2 linked regions of the Neurospora crassa OR74A genome follow. The protein of the gene in region 1 interacts with the protein of each later gene in a pairwise test. Links are inferred from orthologs where the notes say so. Each region holds a gene or a part of one and is shown on either strand. Other genes may lie near its edges.

Region 1 (4,532 bases):
GGTGGGAGGGGAGAACTCGGCCTTGTTGATGAGGTCGATGGTATCTTGGATCGCCTCGGCGGTGTGGCTGCCTGGGAGAATCCAGGTCGAGTCGGGGGTCTCGTCGAGAGTAGGCGTGAGACGCTCCATACCGACTAGACGCATGAGAAGACGGAGGTGCGGGTTCTTGAACATGGCTGTGCGGCGAGCCTCGGTATCAGGGCGGATCGTGATATGTGGTGGTGCTGATTTGTTGGATCTCTCGTCGGCAGCTTCACCATCAGCCGCCCCCTCGGTAGTGGCTGCCATGGCCTTGTCTACGTTCTCCCATGCTTGCCGCTCACTCATTGCACTTGTCAGCTGATCCTTGAGCCACTGCAGATGCTCGACTTGCTGTTTGTCGATGAGTACGCTGACCGCAATGCCAATCTGCTCGTCGCGCTCTGTGGCTCGCTTGAACTCCAGCTCGGCACCAGGTCGTGGCGTAGTTGTGGTGACAGGCTTCTCATAGCCGTGCTCAAGGAAGTGCGTCGTGCTGCCAATCTTGGAAAAGAGCAACTCGGTGAACAACGCAGGCCGCTCTTGAAGCTTTTTGACACATTTCCGAATGATCTGCTTGGAGAGCTCCTCCCATTCCTTGAACATCGGCGAGCTTTTGTCGAGGGGCTCGGGACCTTGGACCATGTTGTAAAAGAGATTGATGATGTCTAGTCGGAATAGCATGATGCTCAGCTCGAGTTTGAAGGCAACGCGGTAGAAGTAGCGATGAGCGCGCTTCAGCTGTGCGTCGTTCAAATCCCGGTAGAATTTGGTGAAGGCGACAAATGTGTCGACAACACCCTGGGGAGCGAATCGAATGGCGAATTTCCCAAACTCGAACTTGCGCTCCTGAGTGACCCGCTCTGCATGTTGCTCATCGTCCCCAGAATCATCGGCATCATTGTCCTCGGGAACGCCAACGTCTTCTGCTTCCTCACCGGCGGCTCTAGCTGCAGCAACAGCAGCAGCAGCTTTGGCAGCCTTCTTCTTTCGGCGAGCTCGCTTCCGTGAGCGCACCTGCAAATCGACATTTTGCTTAGAGTAACCTTCTAAAATGCGGAGGAAAGTGTGGACAAGCTCGGTCGCGGCATCAAGATATTCGAAGCCTTGATCCTTGTATGTTCGAGCAATATTCGCGATAAGGTCGTGGGTTGTCTCCTCGTAAAAGAGACGGCTCAGGGTGTTTTCGGCAATCTCCTGGTCTTCCTCGTTGGGAGACTCTGACATCTCCTGGACTGTGAGGAAGATCTGGGTGTAACAGCGCATGACGGACGTGAGCAGTTGCCAATCCTTATCACTATAGGACCGGTCAAGCGCACGATTCATGGAAGCGAACATTTCCTGTTGGAGCACAGCAGCAACGAGGTTAAAACTGTTCACCTCCTCTCCGGCTGCGGACGTCGACTTCGACTCGTCCCTCTTGGCCTTTCTCCGCATCCGCTCGGCTTCGAGGAACCAGGCGACAAGGTAAAAGAACTGGCTCTTATGCTGGTTCAATGCATGCAATGCCTCCCGATCGATCGATTGCCTCACGTGCAGAAACAAGGGGTTGAAACCGGAGTCGAGGAAGTCTTGGACGAATGATCGCAGCTGCTGACGAGCTCTTTCATCTAGCGTCACCGGAGGGCCAAGGTCCTTGGGCTCCATCTCGGGTTTCCTCGCTCTTCTTGGCGGTCTGAATGTTTTGGAGTTATCCATCTTCCTCTCTCGCGTTTTTGCGTCCAAAAGAGCCTCTTGGCCAGATACCGTCACCATCTTGCCATCTGCTCGTTTCACCCAGATCATGGTCCCAAATCGACTGTGCCGAGTGGTGGTGGTTTTGTTGTAGGATTTTAGCATAGCAGCCTCCTTGCGCATCTCCGATGCCAGCTCTTGCCCCTTGGCTTTGTTGAGTTGCTTTTCACTGACGAAGAGCGAGCTGGGGTCAACTCTTTTTACAAGATGAAAGATGATTTCCATGATAACTACATCTTCGGTGCGGAAGTCCTCGCCCATGTTGGAGGCAAGGGTCAGCAGAGTGAGAAATATGTCTTGATACGAAAAGGCATCAATGGTTGCCGACCTGGATACCTGTGTCTCGTCGCCTTCGCATTTGACACCTTGCGGGGGTGCGATCATGGCAACGTTCCTCAAAAAGAAGAGAATGAGCTTGATGATGGCCTGGTCACGGGGTGTCCGCTCGCCGATAGGCATGGCCATGGAGGGAAGGGCTACCCTGACGGCGGTGTTGAGGATGGGTATCGCATCGAAGTTTATGATGGCGCGCTTGTAGCCAAGCTGGGCAAGCTGCAGAACGGGCATGTGACGATGGTGGTTGATGGTCATTTCGGCGCGCTCCTTCTCTATGGGCCAAGTAAGGGGCACCATGACCTCGAAACACGCCAGAGCAATACGGGCCTTGTACTTGCTGTCGGTTTCGCTTTGAGGCCATAATGTCAGGATCTGGAGCAGATCGCCGCCGACGAGGTTCGCTTCAGCCAGACATCTGGCGACGTCCATGCGATTGGTCTTTTCATCGTAGAATCGGATCCATTTCTTCAGGTCGCGCAAGACGTCTAGCGCTTCGTCACCGAGCTTGTAGCTTCCATCATCGTCCGCGCTGTAACCACCGAGCTATTCGGGTCGCCAGAGTCAGTACATCCGTGTATATAACGAGTCCAGAAGTGGACATACCGCAGAAACCAGGTTGGTGATGTGCGCCCGCACTTCCGGATGGACGACATCGTCGTTGATGTCTGCGGCCTCCATTTTGCGCAGAAATCACGGCGTCCAAGACCAGAACGGAGTCATACGAGTACTAGACAGACTCTCCCCAACTCTCAGCTTGTCTTGGAGGTCGTTTTGTTATCGCATGGATGGTGGCATTGGTCGGGCGCACTTTGTCGGGACGGGACACGCGTTTGTGGTGGTGGGAGACGCGCCGACCGTGTCGTACTTTTTAATGGAAATTGGTGGTATCTTGGTCTTGGCCTGCTTATCTCCCCAAGCGTTTTGTCGGACTGTTTTAAGATACCTGGGTAAGTAGGTACCTAATGTACCTAGCTACCTACTAGAGATACCTCTGCAGCAGTACCTGTGCACCCCGATTTCGACCTCGTGGAGAGCTGCGGAGTTACCCCTGTGGACGGGCAATCAACGACAGCCGAGGATCTTGAGTTGGCGCGGGAATCATGCCCGCAATTGCCCCCCCTGAACGACATGCTTGTACCTCTAGGTAGCGTACATAGTACTCCATACGCGCTAAAACCGACCCCATTTTCCCCGCCTAAGAAAAGGCTAGAGCCGCCCGTAGCTCCTGTACGGCAGTATGTTATGTCCCCCCCGTGGCCCGGGTCGGGCTTGTGACGTCGAGTTGGAGACGAGGACGGCCGAGGTTAACCGAATCCGACAACTTCACATCGTCGCATTCGCATTCTCTAGAGGTGCCCTGGTTGCCTACCTAGGTGTAGTCTTCCGATTTTTCTGTCCCTTTCCTTTCAGTCTCTCTCAGTCACAGTGTCTGCTTTGTTTACTTTCGCCGTGACGATCTCGCAAAATGCTTGCTAGAACCCTCGTCCAGAAGCTGCCCATGGGCGCTCGCGCCTTCAGCTCGACATGCGCCCGCAACGCTGCCGAGGTCAAGAGGCTCGGTGTCGTTGGCGCCGGCCAGATGGTGAGTCCGGCCCATATCATTCATGCCCATGTCTTCAACAACGGCAACGGCTGACTTGTCCTCCTTCTCCTTTAGGGCCTGGGCATCGCCCTCGTCGCCGCCACCAAGGCCAGAGTCCCCGTCACCCTTGTGGATGCCTCTGAAACGTCTCTAGACAAGGGCCTTGCATTCGCCGACAAGCTCCTCAGCAAGGATGTGGCCAAGCAACGCATCACTCAGGATGAGGCGGACGCCGCCCGCGCGCTCCTCCAGCCCACCACCATCCTCGAGGACCTGGACAGCGTCGATTTTGTGATTGAAGCTGTGCCTGAGATTCCCAAGCTCAAGTTCGACATCTTCTCCAAGCTGGCCGAGATCTGCCCTAAGCACGCCATCTTAGCCACCAACACCTCTTCCATCTCCATCACGCGCATCGCCGCCTCAACCACCAAGGACCCCAACGACACCTCCAACAGCTCGCGCGTCGTGTCCACGCACTTCATGAACCCCGTGCCCGTTCAGAAGGGAGTCGAGATCATCAGCGGTCTGCAGACCAGTCAGGAGACGCTTGACACGGCCGTCGAGTTTTGCAAGAAGCTGGGCAAGATCCCTTCCATCTCCAAGGACAGCCCGGGATTCTTGGCTAACCGCATCTTGATGCCTTACATCAATGAGGCCATTATCTGCCTGGAGACTGGCGTTGGCGACCGTGACTCTATCGATGCTATTATGAAGAACGGCACCAACGTGCCTATGGGCCCCCTCCAGCTGGCTGACTTTATCGGTCTCGATACCTGTTTGGCTATTATGAAAGTATTGTACGAGGAGACGAGCGATTCCAAGTATAGGCCGAGCGTGCACTTGCGCAACATGGTCGATGCTG
Region 2 (4,598 bases), on another chromosome or scaffold:
TTCTCGTGAGGGGACAGAACATGTCCTCGACCTGAACCATTGTAAGCAATCGGACCGGCAAGAGCTCCGCCATGGTACAAATACACCACTTTTGTACACCGAGAAAACACGCAAGAGAGGGGGATACGACAAGCTCGTCGGGTATCAAGTACCAAGTGAGCAACGAGCTGATAGGTTTTGTATGGCGCAGTAAACATGGTGGTGAGCCCATGGCCTCATGGGTACTCGGCCCCATCGTTTCCCCTCGCATCAAACAGCAGCTTGCCGATCTATGGGTATACGCTGCAATTTGTTACCGCGTCCAAAAGTAGCGTATATCTGGCAAGGTCTGGCTGGCTACCTGCCCAAGTCCCCGGGTCGCTTCCATGCTTGACTCTAGTGTACACTACTACACGGTAGACGCACCCCAGGGCAACTTACAAACCACAAGTGTTTTGAGAAGCGTGTCGATCACCTCGTTGCTGGGCCCAACCATCAGTCAGTTCCTCTGAACAGCCTCCTTCCTGCTTTGGTCAGTGAAGGCAGAGGAGCGGTCAGGTTGACCGTAGAAAAGCGTGGGCCGCAAGAGTGGCCGCCGTCGTGGCTGGCTTGGCAGGCCGGCTGGCTACTGTAGTAGCACGGATGGAGTGAAATTGAGACTGTCGCCGACGAGACGGGGCGTGGTGTGGGTGTCGTGGTGGATGGCCAGTGTTGTGAGTGGTGTCTGGTGTGCGGCAGTTGTTGTGTTGTGATCCAAGCAATGATGGAAATGTGGATTGACAAAAGAGGGACCAAACTAAACAGAGGAAGAGAAGCGAAGATGGAAGCTGGATTATAGGTCGAATCGGAAATCCGGAGACGCTGATCCGGAATCCAGGATTGGAAAGCACATCGTTAGATGGTCCCTTCCTGTGCTAGGTATTGTACTTCAATCCGCACTCTGCAATTTCGGAATAGTTCATCATCCCCGGTCCGTTCCTTCACCGCGGACCTTTCTGTGGGACATCGATGCCTGTCTGGACACCTACCTATGCTATGGTAGGAGATGGAGTGGAAAGAGCACAGCTGGTCACCCAGGTTGATAAATTAGTTCAGTTCCAGCTGTTGGGCAGCCCCACGGTGACAGTGTTCTCAGATGATTCCACGGCAACTAAAGAGTTCACTAAAATCCAGGGACATCGGCCGGCAGAAATTCTCGTGAAATTCCACGTTCGACCAGGTGGACAAGTTGCAGAAGTGGAAGCTTCTATCGCATTGCTGTCGTGCAGGAACCTTACTGGCCGTTGTTCCGTTGTCCTCTGGGCAGGCATTTGCCGGGCTATGATGTACCTACCTGGTTTACCTTATTACCTACCTACTTACTGTACCAATGCCCGTGCTTCGGTCGAGGGATGGCCGCCCCGGGGTGCCCCTGTGGCCTTGGCTGTCAGCAGCTGCCCTGGGCAATTCCACTTCGCGTTGTACCCCGCCATTTCTTGATATACTACTGTACGCAGTAGGTAGGTAGGTACTTTACCCAGCTCTACAATAGGTACCTCCCGTCTTGCCTGCCCAAAACCCAAAGCCCCACTACAAGTACGTAGAGGTACCTCTAGGTACAAGCAAACTGGTCGCTCCGGCCGCGTCCTTTCACTGCACGCTTTGTGCTGACGCCCCCCCTGCAGTCCACTGCAGTGGTTGATATCTAAGTAATGCACGCTGTGCCCGCCCTGGCACAAAACCACTTTCACAGAGTCGCGTCTCGAAGCGCGTCCGAAGCGCAGCGCTGGTTGGCCGCCCTTCCATGTCAATTAAAGGATCCTGGCCAACATCAACAAAGGAACACTCCTATCAACACCATCATCCCTCGCCCGAATTATTGTCGACCGCGACAACACTATCCGACTGACGTGCATCGCCATCACACCAGTATTTTTTTGCCATCGTATATTTCAAGCTACATAGTCCAGAGCAGAAAGCTCTTAACGCGGGGCAGGCCGCGTCGCGCATCCCCCGTCGGTTTTTTTTCTGCCCAGTGAACAGAGTTCGAAGTTAGTTACCTCGAGTAAACTACAACTGAAGTGTTCCACGCCGGCGAATATCCCACGACGACGTCGCCTCGCCGCCCCGCCTCGACAATCCGTCCCCAGCCGATTTCCCTCGCTGATCCACCCTCGATACCGATTCTCCCTTCGCAATGTATCTCCCTCGACAGCTTATATCAAAACTCTACCTCCACTTGCAAAATACCCGCCATCCACTATCGCCGCCCGTCCTCATCTTGGTCGCTCTCGAAACCGATGCGCTATGTGCCTGCCGTATCCTAACCCAACTTCTCAAACATGACTATATTCCGCACAAGATCCAGCCAGTCGCTGGCTACTCCGACCTCGAACGTGCCGGCACTGAGCTCGTCAGCCCCATGATGGAGACCCGTGGTGGTGCTGGAGGAGTCGTCGTATGCTTGGGAGTGGGTGGTATGGTTGACCTCGGCACAGTTTTGGGACTTGAGCCCGAGGGCGAAGAAAATACCTTTGGGGGTGTAGAGGTGTGGGTGATCGACTCCCATCGCCCGTGGAACTTGGGCAACGTTTTCGGCGGCTTTCCCCTCGAACCAGAGACGCAAGAGGCCAGGACATTCTCTGCGCGAACCCCCATTGGTGTCAATGGCGGCCGGATAGAGCGAGCATACAAACCAGGCAAAGGCGGCATCATTGTCATGGATGACGGCGACATTGAAGATGAGCTCTCCAAGGAACGAGATGCGTATCTGGCGCTAGTGGATATGCCCGAAATCGAAGATGATGGCCGAGACTTGGGCGACAGTGATGAAGACGAAAGCGAGAACGAGGAAGACACGGGCGATACATCGGTTGTTGCAGGCAGAAAGAGGAAATCATGGTCGGACTTCGACGAGGACGATGATGAAGACGACCGACCCAGACAGCGACGAAGAAGCAATTCGGTGAGTACATTCCGATTTCTTCATAGTAATACATCTCTCATGCCAGATACAGTCGAGTCCAATTCCAGATTCGCCTCGACGACCGCAACACCGTGGTCTCATATCTCTACGCGACGATGCCCTATTTTCCAGTGACGCGCTGGAAGCTCCGCCTGCTGCACAACCACCCAGAGGCCCTTCAGCCAACACCCTCCGACGGAGATTGCTACGACTACGACGAGAAAACGAGGGAGTTTTGCGCGAGTACTACCGACTGGGTACATCATATTCGGAGCCCATCTCGTCCATGATGTACTCCCTTGCGTCAGAACTGGGTCGTGAAGACAACGACCTGCTATGGTTAGCGATCGTTGGGGTCACGTCGATGGAGCTGTACGGCCGCTCATCTGCCGGTATTGCGGTAGCAGCTCGCAGGTCAGACGCCCGCATTTCCGGTTGGCTCGGCATGCGTGGTGCGAGAATACGGCAGCTTCTGCGAGACGAGGTCAGACGTCTCAACCCACCAGAGATAGGAAACGGCCGGGTGCTCCCCGAGACGACAGGAATTATCCCAACAACCGCTCGAAGTCCGGAGGATACCAGTATCAGGTTGTCGCCGGAGCCCAAGTTCCTGCTTATTAGGCACTGGAGTTTATACGACAGCATGCTTCACTCACCCTACCTCTTCTCTCGGCTAAAGACGTGGAGCGAGGCTGGCATGAAGCGATTACACAAGCTTCTCGCCAAGATGGGTGTCAGTCTGGTGCAGTGCAAGCAGAGTTATGCCCACATGGACATGATGTTGAAGCGCGAACTTCGCACCAAACTACTAAAATACGCGTCTCTCTACAACCTCGACGAACTTGTCCCGACCATAGACACGGACGGGAAAGATCGTGGAGGTGCCAAAGATGGATGGGGCTTTGTACGCAGTTGGGGTTGGAGGGCAACCCTGAGTGCGCAAGATGTCGGTGTCGTAGTCGGAGCCCTGTTGGAAGTGGGGAAGAACACCACTAGTGCTGATGACCTTCCTGCTGGCCCATCTCAGGATCTTCTCGACGTAGACAACAACCAGAGCCAAAGTGAGGAGTGGATCCCCAGGTTCTGGGAGGCGTATGATGCGCTGGAGGACATCGAGGCCCTTAAGGCTGGCCTTCCCACGGCGCAGTATCTACACAAGGCCATCTTCACCACTGGCACGACAATTTTGAAGAAGAAACAAATATCTCATCTGCGCGCATTTCGCATGTGCGTGGTCAAGGACTCACCAGATGCGACACTCTTCAACCACCCCGGCGCTTTGACCAAGCTAGCGCTCTGGATCGGTGAAGCACTCGCGGAACAGGAAAAAGAAGCCACTGGCGGGAGGCTCGCCCATGGCGGTCGTGGCACACCTCTCGTAGTGGCTAGTCTAGATGACAAGCGCGGAGTGTATGTTGTCGTCGGTACTGGTGGCGGCGGTGGGCCAGACACAAAGTTTCTCGATCGTGAATCGGCCAAGAAGCGAGCCGAAGAAAAAGAGGCCAAAGCTAAAGCCAAGGAGATGCAGAGAAGGATCAAGGAAAAGATCAAGGCCGAGAAGAAGGAGGCCAAGAGAAAGGAAAAAGAAGAGAAAAAGAAAGCCAAGTCCGACGCCGGCGGCGATGAGGACGAGGAGGAGGACAACGAGGAAGATAGTGACGACGACTCGGATCTC

Evidence for each region.
Region 2: the proteins of NCU09552 (region 1) and NCU04378 interact in binary tests that used the Saccharomyces cerevisiae proteins (3 or more experiments, as listed by UniProt). The link is inferred for Neurospora crassa OR74A from reciprocal best matches to the Saccharomyces cerevisiae genes TOF1 and CDC45.

The regions. Positions count from the first base shown.
Region 1 is NC_026505.1:4,564,017-4,568,548, forward strand, and holds the start of NCU09552 (topoisomerase 1-associated factor 1), read right to left. Parts: upstream 2,936-4,532; 5' UTR 2,767-2,935; coding exon 2,692-2,766; intron 2,632-2,691; coding exon 1-2,631. Other genes in the region: NCU09553 (3-hydroxybutyryl CoA dehydrogenase), read left to right, coding at 3,554-3,670, 3,746-4,532. UniProt on the Saccharomyces cerevisiae protein: Forms a fork protection complex (FPC) with CSM3 and which is required for chromosome segregation during meiosis and DNA damage repair. FPC coordinates leading and lagging strand synthesis and moves with the replication fork.
Region 2 is NC_026504.1:3,568,032-3,572,629, reverse strand, and holds the start of NCU04378 (DNA replication initiation factor Cdc45), read left to right. Parts: upstream 1-1,797; 5' UTR 1,798-2,155; coding exon 2,156-2,923; intron 2,924-2,975; coding exon 2,976-4,598. UniProt on the Saccharomyces cerevisiae protein: Required for initiation of chromosomal DNA replication. Acts at the origin of replication. Also has a role in minichromosome maintenance.